Sus scrofa: one gene and its partner. The protein of the gene in region 2 binds, or shares a complex with, the protein of the main gene of each other region. Links are inferred from orthologs where the notes say so. Each region holds a gene or a part of one and is shown on either strand. Other genes may lie near its edges.

Region 1 (6,060 bases), on a different chromosome or scaffold from region 2:
AGGATATATGGGTAAAATCTTGATTTAAAAAAAATTAAATTGAACTATAGGCAGTGACATACTTTTTTTTTTTTTTTTTTTGAATAGGAAATGCTAAGAGATTTAAATCTTGGTGAAATGAAAAGTGGAGTACCGGTGTTAGCAGTGTCCTTAGCCTTGGAGGGAAAAGCTAGTCATAGAGAAATGACATCTAAGCTTCTTTCTGACCTTTGTGGGACAGTAATGAGCACAAATGATGTAGAAAAATCATTTGATAAATTGTTGAAAGAGCTACCTGAATTAGCATTGGATACTCCTAGAGCACCACAGGTTTGTCTGATTCTTCTTTTTGTTCATTCTCTCCCTTTACATATGCTTGCAATTATAGAACTAATAACATGCTCCTAGGAAATTTTAGTAGATGAAAGGGGAAAAACTGGCCATAGTCCCTACCACACAAAAGTAGCCCTCTTTAACATCTTGCTATAGTTTTCCCTGGCTGTTTTTTTTTTTTTCCCCTTCAAACATAGTTTTCATCACACTATGATTTTATGTCTTACTTCCACCCCATGCTCTGTGTAAGTTTTGGGTCATATATTTTGTTCTGTCTCTCTGTTCTCTATTACATGTACTTAAGCTGTTTCATGAGCTAGGTTTTTTTTTTTAATGTAGATTATTGAGGATTGAGTTTTCTTGACTAATGTTTATTATAAAAATAATCATAAATAAGATTATTCCCTTTTGTAGCTTTGTGGGGAAATAATTAGAAAATTCATGACTTATGTATGCTTTTATTTAGATTCTGTCCTCAAAGCCTTATACTTTTATTAGATTTAATACATGCTGACACTATAATATGACTTTCTGGTTTGAAATTGAAAACGTGTGAAATCGTTGCTATTTACCTGACCAAAGTTTTAAAGCAAGGTAGGAGCACTTTACTTAAACATTAATTTAGGAATAGAGTATAGGTAGGTTAACCTAAATGCTATTTCTGTTACACTTACCTGTGATAGTAGTCTCTGTTAGTATTGAGCTTTGTTTCAAACTTGAACTTTTTTTATCTTTTTGGCTGCCCAGTGGCATGTGGAGCTCTGGGGGTCAGGGATCAGATCTGAGCCACAGTTGCAACTGAAGCTGGGCCAGGGATTGAACCTGTGTCCCAGTAGAAACTCTTTTTTTTTTTTTTTTCCTTAATACCAATACCTATACTTAAAAAAAAAAAAATTGTCCGGAAGTTTATATTCATTATAGAAGTTTTGCCCAAAAGGAAGAAAGGCCAGCAAAAATAACCACTGGTAACTGTTAACATTTTGATATTGAATCTTCCATTCTTCTTTTTGTATGTATGTAAATGTATGGTTTTTATATATCCTTAAATTTTAAAATTGTTTTAATAAGTGGAATCAAGAGTTGCCTAGTGATGCAGCAGGTGATCAGGTGTTGTCACTGCTATGGCTTTGGTCACTCACTGCTGTGACGCAGGTTTGATCCCTGGTCTGGGGTCTTCTGCAAGCTGTAGTCTGCCCCCTGCCCCCTCCATTAAAAGTGGAATCATATTATTTACGCTATTTTGTAAACTCGATTTTTCTTACACCATAAAATGTGATAAACATTTTGCCACATGGTGTACCATCCTGCATATACACCATTTAACCACACCTTTATTGTTAGACACTAAGTTGTTGTTTTCAATTTTTAGAAGAACTAATGCTGTGGGCATACTTTCAGATAAGTATTTCTATACAACTTTCCACTCTTAAGTTAAATTCCTTTAATTAAACAGTTTTTTTTTGAGAGACTATAGTCCAATTTTCTTTTTTCCAGAAGAGAGGTTTCCCTTGACTATTAAGCCATTGACTTAAGTATTTTTAATTATATGCTATGTTTCAGGCAGTGTGCAAGGTGTTGGGGATTCAGTCATGAGCAAAACAGATGTTTTATGCCCCTCCATGGCACTTAACCTAAAGGTTAAGATGCGGGAGTGTTATGCCAAGCATAACCAGTAGGTGCTAAATGGGTGTTTTTTTAATATTCCAACATGTCTTAGGTATTCACTGTGTAATTCAGCCTGTCTTCATCATTTATGTATTTAGAAATTGTGTCCTATGAAGGTTTATTTTGGATTTTTTAATATAGCTTTTTTTCATTATATAGTTGGTGGGCCAGTTTATTGCTAGAGCTGTTGGAGATGGAATTTTATGTAATACCTATATTGATAGTTACAAAGGAACTGTAGACTGTGTACAAGCTAGGTAAGTAAATTAATTTTCCTACTAAGACTTTGAAAATAGGGGAAAGTTCAACAGGATTCTGTTGAAATGACACTTGAATTGACCAGACATTGTAGCCACCTATTTGTTATGTGTATGTACTTGCCACAGTTAAAACAGAATTGAGAGATTCTTGACATGATGCAACAGAAAGAGGACAGTAATATAATGCAGAAGTTCTGTGTTTTAGCTAAACTATTGGCTACATTTATGTCAAGCCACTTTTCTCTCAGCCTCAGTTTCCTTATTTATAAAATGAATGAATGGGACTTAGAGGGCTCTTTAAGTTCCTTTCAAATATTAATATTCTGTAATTAGAAGAATAAGGTGGATAATATTAACAAAGCAGTTTTCAGTTTTATACTTATTTGCTATAGAAGTCTTAGGAAATAATGTTTTTCACTTTTGTTCTTTGGTATAATTGTAAGATAATTTCAGAGTTATGTTAATATGATTTTTCATAGCTTCTTAGAAACTTAGATTTGGACTTAGCTGTGCTTTATGTTTTCACAAGTGTAGATATGAATTTTCTAGGACTACTTCAGCTCATAGTGGAATGGTTGCCATGGTGGAATGTCATGATTCTATGTAAAAGTTAGTTTTAGGTGAAATGTTCCTTCTTAATACAGATCAGTTATTTTGAGATAATGTTATATTTTTGTTGACTGAGAAGTAGAAATAAGTGAGTATGAGAATATTAAATGAGAAGCAACTTTTTTGTTCCCAACTTTTTATTTTAAAAAGTAGTTTTTTAAGAGACTTCTGAATTTTAGGTTGCTTTTATGTTATGTGAAAGTTTTCTAGTGTATGTGTCCCCCCCCCCAACTTTATCCATAATTTGGTCAATCTCAAGCATGTCTATATGTTAAAATTAACTTTTTTTTTATTTTGGTAGAGCTGCTCTGGACAAGGCTACGGTGCTCCTGAGTATGTCTAAAGGTGGAAGGCGCAAAGACAGTGTATGGGGCTCTGGAGGTGGGCAGCAGTCTGTTAATCACCTTGTTAAAGAGGTAACTATGGGGTATTGTCTTTAACTTAATTTATATGAATTTTTTTCTTTTTGGCCATGCCAATAGCATGAGGAAGTTCCCTGGGCCAGGGATCGAACCCACACCTCAGTAGCAACCCATGCTGCTCCAGTGACGATGCCAGATCCTTAACCCACTCTGCCACAAGAGAACTCCAATTTATATGTATTCTTTAGCTGGTATTTTTTTGGACAAAAGTTAAGTTTAGTTTTATAGCTGCAAGTGGAAAATTGAATAATTCTTATATATTGGCTTTATGCCTTTTTGCTATAAATTATACACTAATTGCATAATCATTATTCAATTTTTATGATATTCCTGACTTAAAAATAAGACTATGTTGCTAAAAGGGCTTTCATGAGTAATTAAAAGGAGGCTGTGTAGGAACCTCAAAGGAATATCTGAAGTCTCTTTCTTATTTTGGTATTTTTTTTCAAATACTGTTGATATAAGAGTTTCTGTTTTGTAGTTATTCAGTAAATATCCACTTTCATAAGAGCAGTTTGAAACTGGATGGTCTCAGATTATAATAGTTATGAATTATGAACGTTAGATCAGAGTGCTAGATTTTTCTAAGGAAATTCACTACCTATATGCATGCTTTAAAAGAAAAAGTAGGAGTTCCCGTCGTGGTGCAGTGGTTAACGAATCCGACTAGGAACCATGAGGTTGCGGGTTCGGTCCCTGCCCTTGCTCAGTGGGTTAATGATCCGGCATTGCTGTGAGCTGTGGTGTAGGTTGCAGACGCGGCTGGGATCCCGTGTTGCTGCGGTTCTGGCGTAGGCCGGCGGGTACAGCTCTGATTAGACCTCTAGCCTGGGAACCTCCATATGCCACGGGAGTGGCCCAAGAAATGGCAAAAAGACAAAAAAAAAAAAGTAGATTTTTGCATTAACGCCAGATTTATTCTCTTATAGATTTTTTTTTTTCTGGCAAAAAAGTTAAGTGATGTTCTATAAGAAACTAAAAAAAGTAATCTTATTTGAAGATTTTAAGAAAATTAGATTTATAGTATAGGTGCTTCTGACTTTTGGGTATAATCTTTTCATATGGCTATAGTTTTGATGTTTAATAAATATTTTAATATGTATAACAAGTTAGAATGTTAAGGAGCTCAAAATATAGTTAGAGCTTTGACCAGTTTTGCTTTTATATATGTTAAGGTAGATGAGTTGGTATTTGTAATGTCATGATTGCAATATCTGTTTTTTAAAAAATTATAACATTATTAGAAAATTGAGGTATAAAAAAGCCAAGATACTGTAGCAGTTCAGCAAGAAAATGAAATAGAAGGCATCTAAATTGGAAAAGAGGAAGTAAAATTATCTCTCTTCCCAGATGACATGATCTGTATATAGAAAACCCAAATGACTCCTTAAAAAAACAAAAACACCAAACTATTAATTTATAAACAAATTCAACTCAGTTTAAGGATACAAGATCAATATACAAGATTTAATTCCAGGGATTTCCTGTTGTGGCTCAGTGGGTTACAAACCTGAGGATCCATGAGGATGCAGCTTGGCCTTTGATTCCTGGCCTTGCTCAGTGGGTTAAGGGCCAGCGTTGCTGTGAACTGTGGTGTAGATCACAGAGGAGGCTTGGATCCCATTTTGCTGTGGCTGTGGTGTAGGCTGGCATGTGTAGCCCTAAAAAGCAAAGAAAAAAAAATTAATTCTAGATCTTCTGAACACTAGCAGTGAATGATTAATCTGAAATGAAATTAAGAAAACAGCACAGGGAACTGCATCCAGTCTCTTAGGTAAGAACCCGATGGAAAAATACAAAACTAAACAAAAGTGGGTTTGTATGGGTGACTGGGTCACTGCTATGAAGCAGAAACTGAAGGAACATTGTAAATCAACTATACTGTAATAAAAATTAAAAAAAGAAAGCAATTCCATTTACAACAGCATGAAAAGATTAAAATGTGTAGGAATTAATTTAACAAATCAAGTCTTAGGCACTAAACACTGCAAAACACTTGAAAGAAATTAAAGAAGGCCTAAATAAGTAGAGAGAGATATCCCATGTCAATGAACTGACTTAGTATTGTTAAGATGATAATACTCCTCAAAATTAATATTTTGAGAAACTGCCAGACTTTTTTATGGCATGTGAATTATCTCAACAAAAAAAGATAAAAATTGGAATAAAACTACCAATATATGAATTTGAGATTGACATTATTTGGTTATTCATTTTTTTTATATGGAAGGGTGAGTTGGACAAAATGGACTTTTAGAAATATATACATGTATTATAATTTATTGTCAAAAATGGCATGAAACCCAGTGGGAAATAATAATTTAATAATTATTTTAGGGAGTTCCCGTCGTGGCTCAGTGGTTAACGAATCCGACTAGGAACCATGAGGTTGCAGGTTCGATCCCTGGCCTCGCTTAGTGGGTTAAGGATCCGGCGTTGCCATGAGCTGTGGTGTAGGTCACAGATGTGGCTTGGATCCCGAGTTGCTGTGGCTGTTGCGTTGGCCGGGCAGCTGTAGCTCTGATTCAGTCCCTAGCCTGGGAACCTCCATATGCCATGGGCGCGGCCCTAGAAAAGACAAAAAAAAAAAAAAAAAAAAAAAAATTTAAATACTTAAAGTTACATAACAAAGTTAAAGAACTGATATAATTTAAATAATAAATATATTATCTTTTAATTATAAAGTGAAAATACTTAGTCAAGTGCCATGCTTTAAATACTTTCCTAAAGAATGATAATAGGAATTATTCGTCAAGATGTATTCTGTTGGTAAAACTTTACTTTTTATGAGA
Region 2 (5,518 bases):
CAGCTCCACGTCCATGTCCCCACAGCCCAGCTCAGGTCCCTTCAGGAGCCCAGACATCTGGTGCAAATGATGAGAAGGGGAAGGTAACTCACGCGCTGCCCGGGGGAAGGACACGTTGTACTCCACAGCCATGTAGTTCAGGTAGACAGTGCTCTCCTGTGGCTGCTGGGGAAGTGATCAGGAAGACTCAGGCAGCGGCAGATCCAGGTACACAGACTAAGGAGTGTGGCAAGGGGTTTGGAGGCATAGGGGGCTTGGAGGCCGAGAGCGAGGGATGAGGGTTGAGTACCTGCTTGAATCCAAAGGTGAGCTGTCCGTAGGGGAATGAGAGGCGCACGTGGGGATGGGCACCCTCACAGCCCCCCAGGGCCTTGGTTTTGTTGGGGTTCAGTACAGAGATGCCCCAGGCCTGCAGAAGTTAAAGATGAGAGGGTCACAAGACTGCACAGCTGCGCCAGTCAAGCTTCCTTCCTTGTTCCTTTGGTCTTCACGCTGGGTTTGGCCCCCTCTACTCCTCCCCTTCTGAACCAGGGCAGCAGGCTGCGTGCCCTTCCCCGCCTGTCCTCACCTCTCCTCCACCCTGGGTTGGGTACAGAACTCGAATCTGAATCTGGGCTTGGAGCTGGACGCAGGGCTGGGAGCCGTTCGTCCAAGTGTAGTCTCCTATGGCCTCCTGGGAGCCCGGGCTAGGACTTGGAGAGGGTGGAGGTGGCCCTGGGTGGGGGGATCTGGTGGAGGATCCTGGGCTGGTGGCAGTGCTGCTGCTTGTTGGATGAACTGTGGCATTTCCGTGACTGGTGGTGGTAGCAGGATTGTGAGTGACTGTTGTGGGCCCATGGCTGGTGGTGCCTGTGGTGGTGGTTCTTGGAGTGGTGGTTCTGTGGCTGGTGGTGCTTTCTGTAGCCGTAGGTGTCACCGTGAAGGATGGCAGCAGAGTGGCTGATTTTTTATGAGGAGAGTCGACCCCAGCTCCCTGGGCTTTCAGCAGAGGAAAGAACTGGTTGGCAACCCAGGGGCAGGCTTCTCCCTGGGCACCCCCCACCCCCAGCCGCCTTCGCCTTACCTGCGAGGAGTCCCAGCAGGGCCCCTAAGAAGAGCACAGCCAACGTCATGTCAGAACAGCCTGCACTCAGAATCCAGCTAAGTTCTGTGTGGGTCCCAGCTGCCTGCTCTCTCAATCCTAATCCCTCAGCCTTTTGGGAAAAGGAAATAAATCTGACTTCCTGTTAACTGGTAGCCCCGCCCCCAACTTGACTCAGGCACCTCAGCTCCAGCCACTAATCTCCTGAGTCATCAAATTTGTGTCACCTAGTGATTAGCCCTGGCATTTCCAAAGTGGGCACTGTGTTACGTGAGAAGGGAGTTTGGGGTAGTCGATCCTGGGAGACTCTTGTCCACCTCAGGAAAATATGCTCAGGGGTTGCAGGTGATCAAAGGACCAGAGCCTGCAGCCACAGCCCCCCACCCCCCAAGCTCAACGGGGTGTAAAGATCACAACTTTGATTTCCCCTTTCTCTGGGCTCAGATCACTTCCTCTTTGCCTAGAGACATGTGAGCTGCTTATGACTGTGCTGGCCCAGCCCCTTCCTAAGAGTCATGTTACCGGTTACCCAGTTCAGCAGGGGAGCAGAGCTGTACCTACCCAGTAGCGGGGTAGGGGAAGGAGAGGTAAGAAATGAGAAGCCAAAGCAGTTTCCAAGTTATTTTATTCAGAATTTTGTGTTTGTTTTCCTGCATCAATAAATACTATACAAAAACAATGTAAAAATGGCTACCATGTTCTTTCCCCTGCTCCCCCCCCACCTGGGGACAGTGCCCTGGGCCACTTAACTCGGGCTCTCCCTCCAGATTTGGTCCAGCAAATGAGGTGGAGGGGCATTACAGCCCCCACTGAATTATTTTCAGAATTCAGCTGGGGTGGGGAGAGCCTTGGGTTTGAAAGTTGACGAGGTTAGGGAAATGGATTAGTGTTTCTGGGAGAAGAGCCGGCGCCTGGGGCAAGAGCCTGCCCCAAAGAAAAGGGTGTCTAAAATGGTCATGGTTCCTTCTTTTGCCTCAAAAAGTGACATTTATTCAAAGAAAAAAAAAAAAAAAGAAAAAAATGACAAGATGTCCATCCCTTGGCTCCCTTCCCTCCCCCCTGCTGCTGTTCCTCAGCCCCCCTCAAGGACAGGTCGGATCCCTGGCTGGGGCTGGGAGAGCAGAGCAGCGCCTCAGATGAGGTCAGCAACATTGAGGGGCATCTCCTCGATGGAGGTGTTGTAGAAGGTCTCAATGTCCCGGAGAGTCCTCTTGTCTTCTTCTGTCACCATGTTAATAGCCACACCCTTACGGCCAAAACGTCCGCCACGACCGATCCTGGGAAACAAGTTAGAGTATGAGGAAGATGGGGAAGACCGGGGCGCTGCTGTGCAGGGAGGACTGGGCGGGGGGGGGCAGCCTGGCAGGTGTCTTTACCTGTGGATGTAGTTTTCCCTGTTGGTGGGAAGGTCATAGTTGATGACTAAGGAAACCTGCTGCACGTCGATGCCTCTGGCCTGTGTGGGAGAGAAGGCGGCTTCAGTGGGTGACTCCAGGGAGAGGGAGGAGTCTGTCCAGGAGAGGCGTGTGTGTGGGCAGCCCAAGGCAGGCAGAGGATGTTTACAGCCCCTCGCCGCCAGAGCCTCAGGCCTGCCAGATGTTATTCCAAGCTGCTACTTTCCAGAAGAGGGGCACAAGCAGGCCCCTTGGAGAGGGAATCACCTTGGATCCGCCCTTGGTCCCCAGTCTTCTCACACTCGCTTCTACTCAGCTTCTACTCACCAGCAGATCCGTGGTAATCAACACTCTGCTGGAGCCCGAGCGGAACTCCCTCATGATGACGTCGCGTTCTTTCTGGTCCATGTCCCCGTGCTACAACAGGAAACAGAAGGCGGCTGTTAGCAGGTAGGTGTGCTGGTTCAGCGAGAACTGGCTGGGGAAGTAGGCCTGTGACAGCCCCCCTCTTGCTGGGAAACCACGGCCGCAGCGGTGGCGGCGGGCGCTCACCATAGCAGAGACGGTGAAGTCTCGGGCGTGCATCTTCTCCGTGAGCCAGTCGACCTTCCTTCGGGTGTTGATGAAGATGACTGCCTGGGTGATGGTCAGGGTTTCGTACAAGTCACACAGGGTGTCCAGCTTCCACTCCTGGGGGTGGGGGAGAAATCAGTCAGGGGCTATCCCCCCGCCTTCCTGCCAGGCCCGCCTCCTGCACTGGGCCCCACCTCGCGTTCCACATTGATGTAGAATTGGCGAATACCCTCCAGGGTCAGCTCTTCCTTCTTGACAAGGATTCGAATTGGGTCCCGCATGAACTTCTTGGTCACTTCCAGCACATCAGAAGGCATTGTAGCTGACAGCAAAACCACCTAATGGGGACAACAGTCTCAGGGGAGGTAGCAGGTCCTCCAGAGCTTTATGGTTTGTCTGGCACTTTGTAATGGTCTCTCACCCCGAGAACACTACCATCCGTACAAAGGAATCACCACTCACACGAGCAAAACCCCAATGTTCTTCTCACCTGGGTGTTGCTATTGAGCTTTTGGAATATGTCATAGATCTGGTCCTTGAACCCTCGGCTTAACATCTCATCAGCTTCATCCAATACAAACATCTTGATGTATTTGGGAGCTAACAAAAGAAAAAAAAACACACACACACCAACAGGTATTTAAAAAAGGTAAGATATACTTTCACTTCTTCCCAGATAAAGAATAGGAGATAGGTGGTCTGCTCTCAGAATACAAAGATTGATCCTTTGCCTGTGAGCCCCTTGCAAGGCCAGACAACAGCCCTGAGAAGTAGAACACTACCTGGGCTGAGCTGACAGGGAAGCCAGGCTCAGATGACACGCATGGGGTTCATCACAGAGCAATGCTTAAAAAAAAAAAAAAAAAAACTGGGAAAACATGCTTAAGGAAGTGACCCAGAGACCTGGAAAATTGAGACACTCACACAAGTATCTCCTGTTAAGCATATCAAACACACGGCCTGGGGTACCCACGATGATGTGGGGAGCTTCCATCTGTAGCTTCTGCACCTCAGCACGCACATTGGTACCACCAATGCAGGCATGGCAGGAAGCACCCATGTAATCTCCTAATGCCATAACCACCTTCTGTATCTGAAAAGATAAAATGCTGTGTTAGCTATAGTCACCAGGCTCCATCTCATAAATGCTTATGTACTGGAGTTCCTGTCGTGCCTCAGTGATTAACAAATCTGGCTAGGAACCATAAGGTTGTGGGTTCGATCCCTGGCCCTGCTCAGTGGGTTAAGGATCCTGCATTGCCGTGGGCTGTGGTATAGGCAGCAGAGGCAGCTTGGATCCAATGTTACCATGGCTCTGGTGTAGGCCGACAGTTACAACTCCAATTGGAACCCTAGCCTGGGAACCTCCCCGTATGCCACAGGTGTGGCCCCAGGGGGGAAAAAATGCTTATGAATTTATTTTTCCCAACAACTCAAGCACTATTAAACACTCACTTCATAGGCAAGAAAACAGTCAATTTATGAGACAGGTGTCTCTGATCCTTTTCCTCTAAGACCCAGGAAAACAGTTCATTCCATGTGTCCTAGGCATGAAACAGCTCTGGCCACCAACCCAGGCATCAAGCTAGGATGAACAGAGGACTATATACACATCTGCTTTTCCCATGACTGATATAAGAACAACACCACCAATCAGGTGTCTCTTTGCCCATTGCCAGGGGGTTTTGGTCATAGAAGAGCCAAACTTGCCCAGCCAGTCACATTCCACCCAGCAGCCTTCACATCTGACTCAGGAAACGGGTGGAGTAAAGGATGCTTACTGTGCTTGGTTAAGGTTTATAATTAACCTAATAAATCCCAAAAGATCTACAAGTTATCAACTGACTTTGTTTCATCTCTTTCATTCTCTATACGTCAGTTCTTCCAAGGTGGTGGTAGTCGGGGCACATACTTCTGATTTTTGGGTTTTATTATTCATTTCTAAATGAGTCCTTTGGGGAGAGGTAAAATCTCACCTGCTGAGCCAACTCTCTAGTGGGTGCCAGGACCAAGGCCTGGGTGGCCTTTAGATCCAATTCAATCTGCTGCAGAATTGATATGGCGAAAGTGGCAGTTTTCCCAGTCCCAGATTGGGCTTGAGCGATCACATCATAACCTAAAGTGACAAAATGAGAGAGAAATTTAATGGCAGGAAATATTCTTTGGAATCATGGGACACTGAAAAATAACCCACAGAAGGGTCCGTATATGTGCCAAACAGTAAGTGCTTCACAGACTTGATACCACAACACAGTACCAAGGCAGACCTGGAAGCCAGGTGAAGGCAACAACTCATTTAGCATGGCACCCCAAAGCTGGGCTACAAATACAGGTGTAAAATTATAATCTGCCTAAAAACAAGAGCCTGACTTAAATGAAGCCAACAATCCATGTGTCCAGGGCATGAACCAGGCATAGGCACAAACCAAAAGCCAAGCTGGGATAAACAAGGAGTTGCTTTGTCCCTGGC

The links. The genes of interacting proteins can lie anywhere in the genome.
Region 1: the proteins of EIF4A1 (region 2) and PDCD4 are in contact, whole or in part, in a crystal structure (PDB 2ZU6), measured with the Homo sapiens proteins. The link is inferred for Sus scrofa from reciprocal best matches to the Homo sapiens genes EIF4A1 and PDCD4. Residues at the interface, in NP_001407.1 of Homo sapiens: Gln75, Thr109, Arg110, Glu111, Ile135, Gly137, Val140, Thr158, Gly160, Arg161, Asp164, Glu186, Leu188, Ser189, Arg190, Gly191, Phe192, Gln195, Ala214, Thr215, Met216, Pro217, Glu240, Leu241, Thr242, Asn280, Thr281, Arg282, Arg283, Thr329; in NP_055271.2 of Homo sapiens: Pro170, Gln173, Glu174, Glu177, His178, Glu183, Glu186, Met187, Asp190, Leu209, Glu210, Lys212, Glu249, Leu250, Leu252, Asp253, Thr254, Pro255, Arg256, Gly320, Gln321, Gln322, Ser323, Val324, Leu327, Glu348, Lys352, Glu355, Val356, Pro357.

Annotation. Positions count from the first base shown.
Region 1 is NC_010456.5:121,322,489-121,328,548, forward strand, and holds part of PDCD4 (programmed cell death protein 4), read left to right. Parts: intron 1-87; coding exon 88-309; intron 310-2,136; coding exon 2,137-2,234; intron 2,235-3,147; coding exon 3,148-3,262; intron 3,263-4,868; exon of another isoform or gene 4,869-4,929; intron 4,930-6,060. UniProt on the Homo sapiens protein: Inhibits translation initiation and cap-dependent translation. May excert its function by hindering the interaction between EIF4A1 and EIF4G. Inhibits the helicase activity of EIF4A. Modulates the activation of JUN kinase.
Region 2 is NC_010454.4:52,870,420-52,875,937, reverse strand, and holds the end of EIF4A1 (eukaryotic initiation factor 4A-I), read right to left. Parts: intron 5,165-5,518; coding exon 5,025-5,164; intron 4,142-5,024; coding exon 3,973-4,141; intron 3,649-3,972; coding exon 3,539-3,648; intron 3,387-3,538; coding exon 3,243-3,386; intron 3,166-3,242; coding exon 3,028-3,165; intron 2,893-3,027; coding exon 2,803-2,892; intron 2,538-2,802; coding exon 2,458-2,537; intron 2,359-2,457; coding exon 2,214-2,358; 3' UTR 2,002-2,213; downstream 1-2,001. UniProt on the Homo sapiens protein: ATP-dependent RNA helicase which is a subunit of the eIF4F complex involved in cap recognition and is required for mRNA binding to ribosome.